2 linked regions of the Drosophila melanogaster genome follow. The protein of the gene in region 1 interacts with the protein of each later gene in a pairwise test. Each region holds a gene or a part of one and is shown on either strand. Other genes may lie near its edges.

Evidence for each region. The genes of interacting proteins can lie anywhere in the genome.
Region 2: the proteins of CG11882 (region 1) and Clc interact in a two-hybrid assay, tested with the Drosophila melanogaster proteins (2 studies listed by BioGRID).

What each region holds. Positions count from the first base shown.
Region 1 is NT_033777.3:29,146,218-29,150,525, forward strand, and holds CG11882 (uncharacterized protein), read right to left. Parts: upstream 1,956-4,308; 5' UTR 1,838-1,955; coding exon 1,734-1,837; intron 1,664-1,733; coding exon 976-1,663; 3' UTR 799-975; downstream 1-798. Other genes in the region: CG14511 (uncharacterized protein), read right to left, coding at 1-584; Pglym78 (phosphoglyceromutase 78), read left to right, coding at 2,233-2,335, 2,792-3,289, 3,352-3,518; eIF2D (eukaryotic translation initiation factor 2D), read right to left, coding at 3,723-4,308.
Region 2 is NT_037436.4:20,238,598-20,244,692, reverse strand, and holds Clc (clathrin light chain), read right to left. Parts: upstream 3,641-6,095; 5' UTR 3,587-3,640; intron 3,575-3,586; exon of another isoform or gene 3,153-3,574; intron 3,131-3,152; exon of another isoform or gene 3,009-3,130; intron 2,849-3,008; exon of another isoform or gene 2,790-2,848; intron 2,188-2,789; exon of another isoform or gene 1,909-2,187; 5' UTR 1,896-1,908; coding exon 1,236-1,895; 3' UTR 958-1,235; downstream 1-957. Other genes in the region: CG6951 (uncharacterized protein), read right to left, coding at 116-526; CG17233 (uncharacterized protein), read left to right, coding at 4,198-4,830, 5,080-5,955. UniProt on the Drosophila melanogaster protein: Clathrin is the major protein of the polyhedral coat of coated pits and vesicles.

The sequences.
Region 1 (4,308 bases):
CACTTGCCATGACGTCGATACAGCAACTCCTGTGTAATTCCCATGTAGGAGGAAACAAATAGAGCCAGCACCAAGAGTGCCACGCCCAACAGCCACCAGAACGTATCCGCCTCGGCGCCACTATCCAAATTCTCCATCTTACCCACCAAATCCGGACTGGAGAAATATGTGCAGACGAAAATGCCCACGCTGATCATGAGCACCGATATGTACTGACTCAACCGGTAACTCCTCTTCAGGATCAACGTGCACAGGCACATGTTGGAGATCAGCGAACCGCCGCGTATGATCATGTGCAGTGTCATTGGAACTTTGAACTTGAACACGTAGTTGTTGCATACGCTGGTCAGGAAAAACATGGCCACGAGGAGCGCATAGTCGCGCAGGCTGATCACTCTCTGGGCCAGGCCAAACTTCGAGGTGAAGATGAAGCCCTCGAGGGCAATAAATGCAAACTGGGCGCCAGTTATAAGGTTTCCAGCGCCGGGATCCAGTTTAACCAGGAGCTCCAAGAAGACGACGCCACTGCAGCAGCCCAAGAAAACGCCGCAGATGGCCGAAATAGCGCGGATGGATAAATTCATGAACTCGCGCAACGAAAGTAGACGATTCCCACCAACTTTAACCTACGATCTGGGCCATGACGAGCTTTTAAGCCAACTTACTTTCTCTTCGGCCATACAAAACGTAAACAAATGCAACAGGTGGTTATCGATAAAGTTCGGTTCGGGCACAGCTGATGTTGGTCTATCGAAAGTGGTTGAAATTCAAATATTCCAAGCGAAAAAGAAAAAATTTATGATTTTAAGAGAAGAATATTTTATTTAATGTACATTACATTCAAAACCAAACTTAAATATGTTGCCTAATCACATTCGAAATATTCGCACCAACAGTCTTTTACAACAATTACAAAATACAATGATGACAATGCTAAGAAAGAAATTACAGATTAGCAAATTAATGGTATATTACTTATTTTTCCTTTTCCAGCAAGGCAATAATTTTGTTTAACTTTTCCGTCTGCTGGGCCTCGAAGTTGTCCAGTCTCTTAGACACTAACAGCGTCAGCTTCTCAAATCTCATGTCGATGTGCTCCTTGAGGATTGCAACATCGGTGGAAGGCGGTGCAGTCTCTTGGGTTTGGTCCTTCGCCTGCGGGGAATAGCCCTTCATCAGGCTCATGAACTGCTCGAACTTTTCGGCCTGCTCCTCCTTCTTCAAGGGACTCGTGCCACCCCTTTGCAGCAGCTCTTGGATTCGCTGCGCATCCATTGGCCTGGGCAACTGGGTGGTTATGCCGTTGGGATTCGGCGCCACCTGGAGCAGGGCTCCGTAAACGCAGATCTCGCTGGCCGAGGTGAGCATCTTCAGGTTTATGTCATTTATCCCGGATCGGTCGATTTCCATGTCATAGCGATAGGGTCGCACCGCAACCTCTGGGTCCTCATCGTCGACGCAAGTGCCGTAGATGGTCTCGCAGTACTCCTGCAAGGGTCCAATGAACAGCTCCACCTTGGGAGCGCTGCAAATCAGGGTGAGCGCGGCGATTTTGAAGCGGTTCGGGATCTGGAAGCGCAGCTCACAAGGCGGCGGCGGATCCGCCGACTGCATGGAAAACAGCACGGCGCGATTCTCGTCGATCACGTCGTCCAAGTCGGGCCTGCGGACAAAGGAGGTTTCAAAATTACTTGATAAAAACCAGTTTCGGGGCGTGGAATCCTTTGTCTCACTTCACAAAGACGTCTTCGTCGGACAAGCGGGTGGCCACCAGTTGGTCCAGCCCGTTGCCCGACAGCTGGGGCCAAGTGCAGCGCGCGGTGACCTTTTCGCACATGCTTTAAGTGACAAAAAGTTGGAATTTATGGGAGCAAAATTTAAAAACAGCCAAATTTAAAAACCAAAACACGAATATAGTGATGACAAACGCGAGCGATAACATCTGCGCGGGGGATGCCAACCTGTTGCACAGCGCAAACTAATTGGACATTTGAAGGTAGCTTGACGCGCTATTCCAATAAGACCATACTCCGGAGTCCAATCAGAGAAGGCACCGCATCTGCGCACTACGTTTTTCCAACAGAACGGCAATATCGCGGCCTGACAGCTGCGACCTTGGACGGCTCCCTTGTAGGTCAAACTTCAGCAGAATTCCCACATATTGCAGTCGCAGCAAGGCGGCAGCTTAAGAACGAGTACACAATTATCCGCAGAGTGATCAACGCAGCTAAAATGGGCGGCAAGTACAAGATCGTGATGGTGCGCCACGGCGAGTCCGAGTGGAACCAGAAGAATCAGTTCTGCGGCTGGTACGACGCCAACCTCAGCGAAAAGGGTGAGTGATTACATCAATTTGAAATTTAAACCTCATATGTGGGATTAAAAATCTGATGTACATCTAGTTTCCAATCGATGATCCTTTGCTTTGATCAGTTTCACAATAGTATTCCTTTTCATTTACCCAAATTAATCTTCATTGACCTAGTGCAACATTATCTCATTCAAACTTTTCTGTGATAAAAATAGGTCTCTACAAACAAAAGCTTTCCAGTGCAATTTTCAGAAGCATCAAAATTCTAGTTTGTTACACTTTAAAGTCAAAAATTTGCCATCTCATATGTTTCTAAAGTTCAGATTATGCTTATGAGCATAATTTGATAGGTTATCGCCTTTTTTTAACCCTAGTAATCAAATTAAATTAAACGCATGCCTTTCAATTAGATTAAATTGGCTTACGTTCGTTACCCAACACGGCGTATACTTAATGTTCGCTAAACATTTGCCCAAACAGGTCAGGAGGAGGCCCTAGCCGCCGGCAAGGCCGTCAAGGATGCCGGCCTGGAGTTCGATGTGGCCCACACCTCGGTGCTGACCCGCGCCCAGGTGACGCTGGCCAGCATCCTGAAGGCCAGTGGCCACAAGGAGATCCCCATCCAGAAGACTTGGCGCCTGAACGAGCGCCACTACGGTGGACTCACTGGCCTGAACAAGGCCGAGACCGCCGCCAAGTACGGCGAGGCCCAGGTGCAGATCTGGCGTCGCAGCTTCGACACCCCGCCACCACCGATGGAGCCGGGCCATCCGTACTACGAGAACATCGTCAAGGATCCCCGCTACGCCGAGGGTCCCAAGCCCGAGGAGTTCCCCCAGTTCGAGTCCCTCAAGCTGACCATCGAACGCACACTGCCCTACTGGAACGACGTCATCATTCCCCAGATGAAGGAGGGCAAGCGCATCCTGATCGCTGCCCACGGCAACAGCCTCCGTGGCATCGTCAAGCATTTAGACAGTGAGCATGGGAGACATAACATATATCATATCATCTTTTTACCATATCCTTGTCCAATCCAGACCTTTCTGAGGACGCCATCATGGCCCTAAATCTGCCCACGGGCATTCCGTTCGTCTACGAGCTGGACGAGAACTTCAAGCCGGTGGTGTCCATGCAGTTCCTCGGCGACGAGGAGACCGTGAAGAAGGCCATCGAGGCTGTGGCCGCCCAGGGCAAGGCCAAGTAAGCACGCAGGCCACACCTCATGAGAATCCACTCAAATACGGCACAAGTCAGAGCATTCTGATTACGCTTCTGTTCAAGATGTAGCCAATCCCATTCGTTGTTGTTGTTCGCGTAGCAGTAATTGGTTCATCCCCACTACAGTTAATAAATAATTTATTATTACACTCAAGAGGACAGGCGGAGGAGGCTTCATTTATTGTCCGGCTCACTTCTTCTTATTCTTCTTGCCGTCCTTGGCCAATTCCAGGCCCAGGATGCACTTGGGCGGCACCTTGTACGTTTCCGTGAGCAGCGTGTGCACAAATCGCACCTGGTTGCCCTGGATTTGCAGCTGCTCGTGCTTTTGGTGCGGCAGTTTCACCACACTGGTGCTGGCGGCGGCTCCCTGCTTGCACAGCTTGATGAACTCGGCCAGGATGATGCCGTACGCCTCGATGTTGCTGACCAGCGTCACCTTCTTGTTGCCCGATCGCGTGGCCAGGGACATCTGGATGAGGGGCTTCCCGCTCGTATCTTTGCCGCTGCACATCTGGTAGGAGTGCTCCATCTTGCTGGTGATGAGGGAGCACATCTCGCTTAGCGAAACCTCTCTGTTACCATACAGCTCGATCAGAGTGTCGTCGGGGCGCACCAGCTTGGTCAGCGGATGGAGGAGACCATGTTTGCTCACGTACTCCCGCACAATCTTCTTGATCTGACCCGCCGGGATTCCCTCGCCGCGCTTGTAATTCAGCTTGGTGAAGAAGGCCGCCGTAACATCGGTCACTATGTACATCTCCTTCAGCTCGGAG
Region 2 (6,095 bases), on another chromosome or scaffold:
TTATCAAAATAGGACGACTAAATTATACAGCTGCCATATGAAAATATTAAAGTTGCATTTCAAATAATAGAACAGAAATCCTATATTCGGCTTCCTTCGTTAATATTAGTTTTACCTGTATAATGAGTTTGGCACATTCGTTGCACGGAAATAGTGTGGTATACAGTCGAGTTCCAGACAAACTCATGCCGTTGCTGTTCAGGATTGCATTGGCCTCCGCGTGGACCACGTACATCTTCTTGTCTTCCAGGGGATCAAATTCCTGCGAGCCTTTCTTAGCTTTTGACCACGGAAACACGTCATCGCTGCAGTTGCGAGGGAACCCATTGTATCCAATGGCCACTATCCGATTCTGGGAATCCACGATGCAGGCGCCCACTTGGGTGACGGGATCTTTGCTGCGTTTGGCGGAGAGCAGTGAGGTGGCCATAAAGTAGTCATCCCAATGCAGATATTCCTTTCTCTTGTGGCTTTCGGGTGACTTCGACAACTGGGATATCAAATCTTGAGCGGAAACTTCAGCCATTTCTGCAAAACAAGTAGAAAACCTTATTAAGCGATGGAAATAATTAAATTATGATTTCTGATATCCACTTTTCATTATCGTAATTGGTTTCTTTATGCGTATTTCATTCATATAATGCATACATTAAACCAGCTCTGCAATGACAAATACTTGCCTCAGTTGTCTGTATGTCTTTATTTTAATAATCATTTAATGAATGCAAATCCATACACAACCATATTCCATTTCCAACCCATTGATATTTCCAACACACATATATGATGAAAACAAGTTGTATGTGTATAACTAACTAGAGATAAGAATAATAAATGGTTTGTATAATGCGTTTTATAGAGCAATAAATATTATTTACAACAAAACTGGAAGTAATTAAAGCCCCTTGATGTGCAACCCTGCTTGATTAACAAAATGAACGAAAAAACACTTTAGTTGTCATATCCTTGGTTTTATTTTTTATTTGTTCTTTTTCCTAACTTTTTCATGTCGTTTTTCTTATTTTGTGTGATGGGGTATATGATAGTCAAGGAAAGCATGACAACTGTGTGCACATTCTTTATTGCATTCATTAGACAAAACGATGATCGCGGCTATGTTATAGCAGCAATAATAATATTTTATGTATCATAAATTGGAATATACAGCGAATACTTTCAATAATAATTTTCATATTCAACTCAATGTGGTTAGGCGAGTGCGTAATTAAAACTACCTAGGTGCTCTTCTGCACCTGGATGGGATTCTGCTTGAGGTGCAGGTAGATGGATCGCATGCGGGAGACGTCCTTTCCCGCCTTGTTCACCTTGGGATTGAAGTCGCAGAGCTTGGCTATGCGCTCCCATTCGGTGCCCGGCTCGATGGTGCCATTCTCCAGGGTGGCGGCTTGTTTCTCGGCATTCCGCGACGCCAGTTTGGTCTTCGATATGGACTCGCCAATCTGGCGCAACCAGTCGTCCAGCTCCTTCTTGGACTGCTGTCGGAGTTCCTCCTTTTTTCGCTCCTCCTCGATGTCCTTCTCCTCCAGTCGTTGCTTTTGCTCTTCGCGCCATTTGCGTATCTTTTCGGGCTCTTCCCGCGACGGCGGCGGACCGGATATGCCCACGGGTTCATTGGACTCGCCACCAATGACCTCAAAACTGCCAGTGGAGGATTCGAGGCCACCCGTGCCGCCAGCAGAGAGCAGATCGCCTTCGGAGGCGGTGCCTCCCAGAAGCTCACCCAAGCCCTCGTCTGTGGATGCAGCCGGAGGAGCTGATGCAGATCCACCCGTAATCTCCGCCTCCAAGTCCCCGAGAGCTGACTGTTCGCGCGCCAGGAACTCGGCCGCCGGATCCACGTCCTCCTTGGCAGCGAAATCGTCTCCGAAGTCCATGGCTATGTGCTCTCTGGAAATGTTGTGATTGCTATTTAGTGGGCGTCTCACCCAGATTTACACGTACGCAGAGGAGCAGCCAGCTGCTGGCGGATTCCCCCCGATTCATTGACAATTGGGCACTACGCACCTCTCCTTTGATTCGGTTAGGACTAATTGAAGATCGGTGTGGGCGGATGACTAACCGGAAACTTGGTCAAATGTATTTTTTCAGTTTTCTTTTAGCAATGAATACGTAAAATGACTGTCATTAGTACGTGAACCAACCATAAAACAGCGGGCTATCGAACTGGTTCCAGCCGAACAGTGCTGGATAATGCAACATATATCGCAACGCGATGGTTTTAAATTTAATGTTATGATTTTTATATTAAAAAATAAATATTTTTTTACACCAGTTATTATGCCAAATCTTTTAAATGTATACAAATTAGTAATATTTAAGGAACAGAAACCATTGTTAACTATTTTACTTGTCAAAGCCGAATTCAACATTCCTTAACATCACGGATAACGAGTTAAAGATTTAGCTACATTTTGTATTATTAAGCTACAAGTTTATGATAATGTATGTTGAAAAAACCAAAGTAAGAACATTTAATTTTTCCTTAACTAAACTTTTAAATTATATCAGCAGCGTCAATTTTCCACTGGGTTTCTGGTCAATTAGTGTTGCAAAATGTGTAATGGTGGTGGCTTGATTCGTTCATATATAATTTAGAACCGTACATATAGTTAATAAAACCTAGATTTAATATAATATTTAAGTTTGGAATTATTTTATTTTTTTTTTTGTTTTCAGATTTTGTAAAGTTCTCATGGTTTTTGAAATCAACTAGTTCCAATTGATCAGTGTTAGGAAACGCGCGAGTTCAGTAAACACAACCTTCAGAGGAGTTACGATTAATTTGTTTATATCTTATCAAATGTGCCTTAATAAATGCTCGTAAAATGTAAATACACAACAAAGTTAACTAGTAATGACTGTAGACCCGATAAAAAGCGTATTATACAACACTTGTTGCTATTGCATAGCACATGGGAATATAATTGCTGGTCAAATTTCACGGTGAATTGTTCACACAACATGACTTAATTATGTTTTTGACTAACCTATGCCACGAAGAACACAAGACGCAGTATACTTTTTGAGGAAATTAACAAAGACGAAATGCGAGGACGACGGCAAAACAAACAATAAACACTCGGCGCGCGAACTAGTGAACCGATGAACAAGTTCACCGTGGCATCATTCACCTGAGCCAGTGGTTCGTTTTTCACTGGCAGCAGAGCGGCCATTTTGGAGATTGTTTCATCCACAAAAAAGTTATGCACCGAATCTAAAAAAAAGAACGTTCGCTGTTAGTTAAACATAAAATCCGCTCGTGCATATTGAAGCGTTGTTGTGCTGGCCGATCCGATGTGAAGATAATGCTGGGCCCGAGCAGACCGACAGTTCCGATTCTATAACGACTAAAAGTTAGTGACTATCTTCCAACACGCACGCATGTACGCCCGTGTGTGTGAGTATGTGTGTGTGTGTGTGTGATTGTGTGCATGGATACATATATGTACAAGCGGAAAATACGGGAAAAAATCCTATTCCCAGGCAGAAAAACATTGCCAAAAACAGCATAAATCCCAGCCAATGTGATGGCCCCGTCATTGTAATGTCATAAGTGAGCACCCACATTAACCCATTGACGCTGAAACTTCAAAAATGCGGTCTCCTTGCCGCCGAGCGCCAAGGCAAAAAATACAGACGCCAATTTTTTTGAAGGGGGAACCAAGCGCATCGTGGCCAAAAGGGATACAAAAAAAATGAAGATACGAAAAAAATAGGGGGATCCCTTCAGTGCAGAAAAGTTGGGGAACAAACACCCCAAAACTGGAGTGTTTCATTCTAAAGTGTACTTCTACTATGTGTTTATTGATTTACAATAAAAGATAAACAAAATATGTTTGACCACATATAAATATCAATAATTTTATAGTAATTATTATTGATCCATAAATAACATTAATTGAATTCGCGCCTTTTTCCCCTCTATATTATGAATGCCATGGCAAGCAACTTGTGATAACAATATAAATATGTTATAATCTAAGCTACCGCTAAATTGATAAATATGGGCGGGATTTTTAGACTTAACACATGACCATTGGAAATGTATCCGAGCAATAATAAACTCCAATTAGTTAATCCTTTACATATAAGCCGCTAATTATATTCAAAAACCACTAAAGTTTTGCTATTTGTTTCAGTTACCAGCCATCAGCAGTAGAAGAGCCCAAGCCAAACATGGATCCCAATTCCAGTCCCTGGTCATACGCCTACAACCGCATCGTGCCCGCCAGTGCCGGAAGCTCCGGCGGAACAGCAGAGGACTTCCAGCATCCACACCTGGCCACCATTACGGCAGCAAGCATCGCCAGCTTTAATGCGGCGGCCGCCAGTGGTGGCAGCTTTGTGCCTCCGTCACCGATTGGCAGCTACAACCCAGTATTCCAGCAGATCTACCACCATGCGGCGGCGGCCAGTGTCCAGCCTAAGCCCGCCCACTATGCCTCGTCAGCGGTGAGCACGCCGCACCGCCAGCTGCAGCTGCCCAGTTCGCTGGACAAGCAGCTCAGTTCGTTCCAGAACCAGGCGGCCGTGTCGGCGGCAGCGGCTGCTGTAGTCAACAATGTTGCCTCGAACTATTACGGGGAGAACTCCTCGTCGAGTGGAGCCTCACCATCGCCCACAACGGTGGCCCTGACGTCGACGTCGCTGACCTGGAACACGCCGAACATGATATCGAACACCTTCCTGGCCATGCAACAGCAGCAGGCACAGCAGCAACAGCAGCAGGCACAACAGCAGCAACAACAGGCCCAACAGCAACAGCAGCAGGCGCAACAGCAACAGCTAAACCTGGTGGCCGACAAAGTGGTGAGTAGAATTCGTTTGTTTTACGTTCGGCTTTCAGATCACTCTTCTATTATGGTTTACGCCAGCTTCTGGGGAAGCACACACACTTATTAAAACCCCGCAGGCTCTATCGCATTTATCGCATACTAACATAACATCCCTTCCAATAAACCCATCAAAGCATAGACTAAGTCTAGCCTCTCTATGTCGAATCAATCCCAAACCAAACACTTTCCGATTCCGATTCAATCTATGTACGGTGCGCTGTAGCAGATTAAGCAGGAAAAGCAATTAAAAGCCTACAACGACTCGATTTACCTGATCCAACTGCAACAGCAGCAGCAGCAACAACAGACAGCGGCGCAGCAGCAACAGCAGCAGCTCCACCAGCAACTGCAACAGGAGATCGCCGAGGCAGACACAGAACCGGACACCTATTACACCATTGATGGCCGGAAGGTCAAGGTGACGCGGAAGGATGGCCAGCCGTATCGGGCAACGATAGTAGACCAACAGGATGCCAGTCCGGTGCCGCTGGCAGTGCCAGTTCCGGCGGGATCCTATCCGGTGCAATATGCCAGTCCGGCGCTAAGCTCCGCAGATGGATCGCCCATCACGAATTTACATGCGGTGGACGTGGTCAGCACACCGCAGGCCCAGGTGATCGTCTACAAGACGGCATCCCCTGTGCAAAGGCGGCAAGAAGCGGGCGCTGGATCGTCTGCTGCTGCCACACCCACCACGGTGGCCTACTCATCTGTGATACAAAGCACCCTGCAGCAACAGCAGCAGCAGCAGAACCTCTGCTGGACGAAGCTGGAGGACAATGGAGCGGGGCAGGAGGACATTAAGAACGTGCTGCAGCTGCAGGTGAAACAGGAACATCGGCAGCTCGATTTTGCCAGTGAGGCATCCTCAGTGGACGCCGGTGGTGGTGGCGAAAATCTAGTTTTCAACCTACCGCCCGGGCTGGAGATCAAGCAAACCTTCTATCCCGCGAGCGTGGTCGATGGGGAGCAACTGCAGCTGCAGGAGCACAATCAAAACCAATCCCAGTCCTCCGGTCGGCGCCAGCACGTGGTGGCCAACATGATCATGTCGCCGTCGGCGGGCAACTTAGCGTCACAGATTCAAGTAGTGCCAAAGGTTTGTATTTAATTTTTTTTATTTCCGTTTCTATTTGTTTATTAATTTGTTTGTGTTCTGCCTTTATTTCGTTTTATTTGCTTTTCACACTATTTCTTCCAAGATTTTGCCAACTTAAATGGACTAGTTTGGAAGATCTC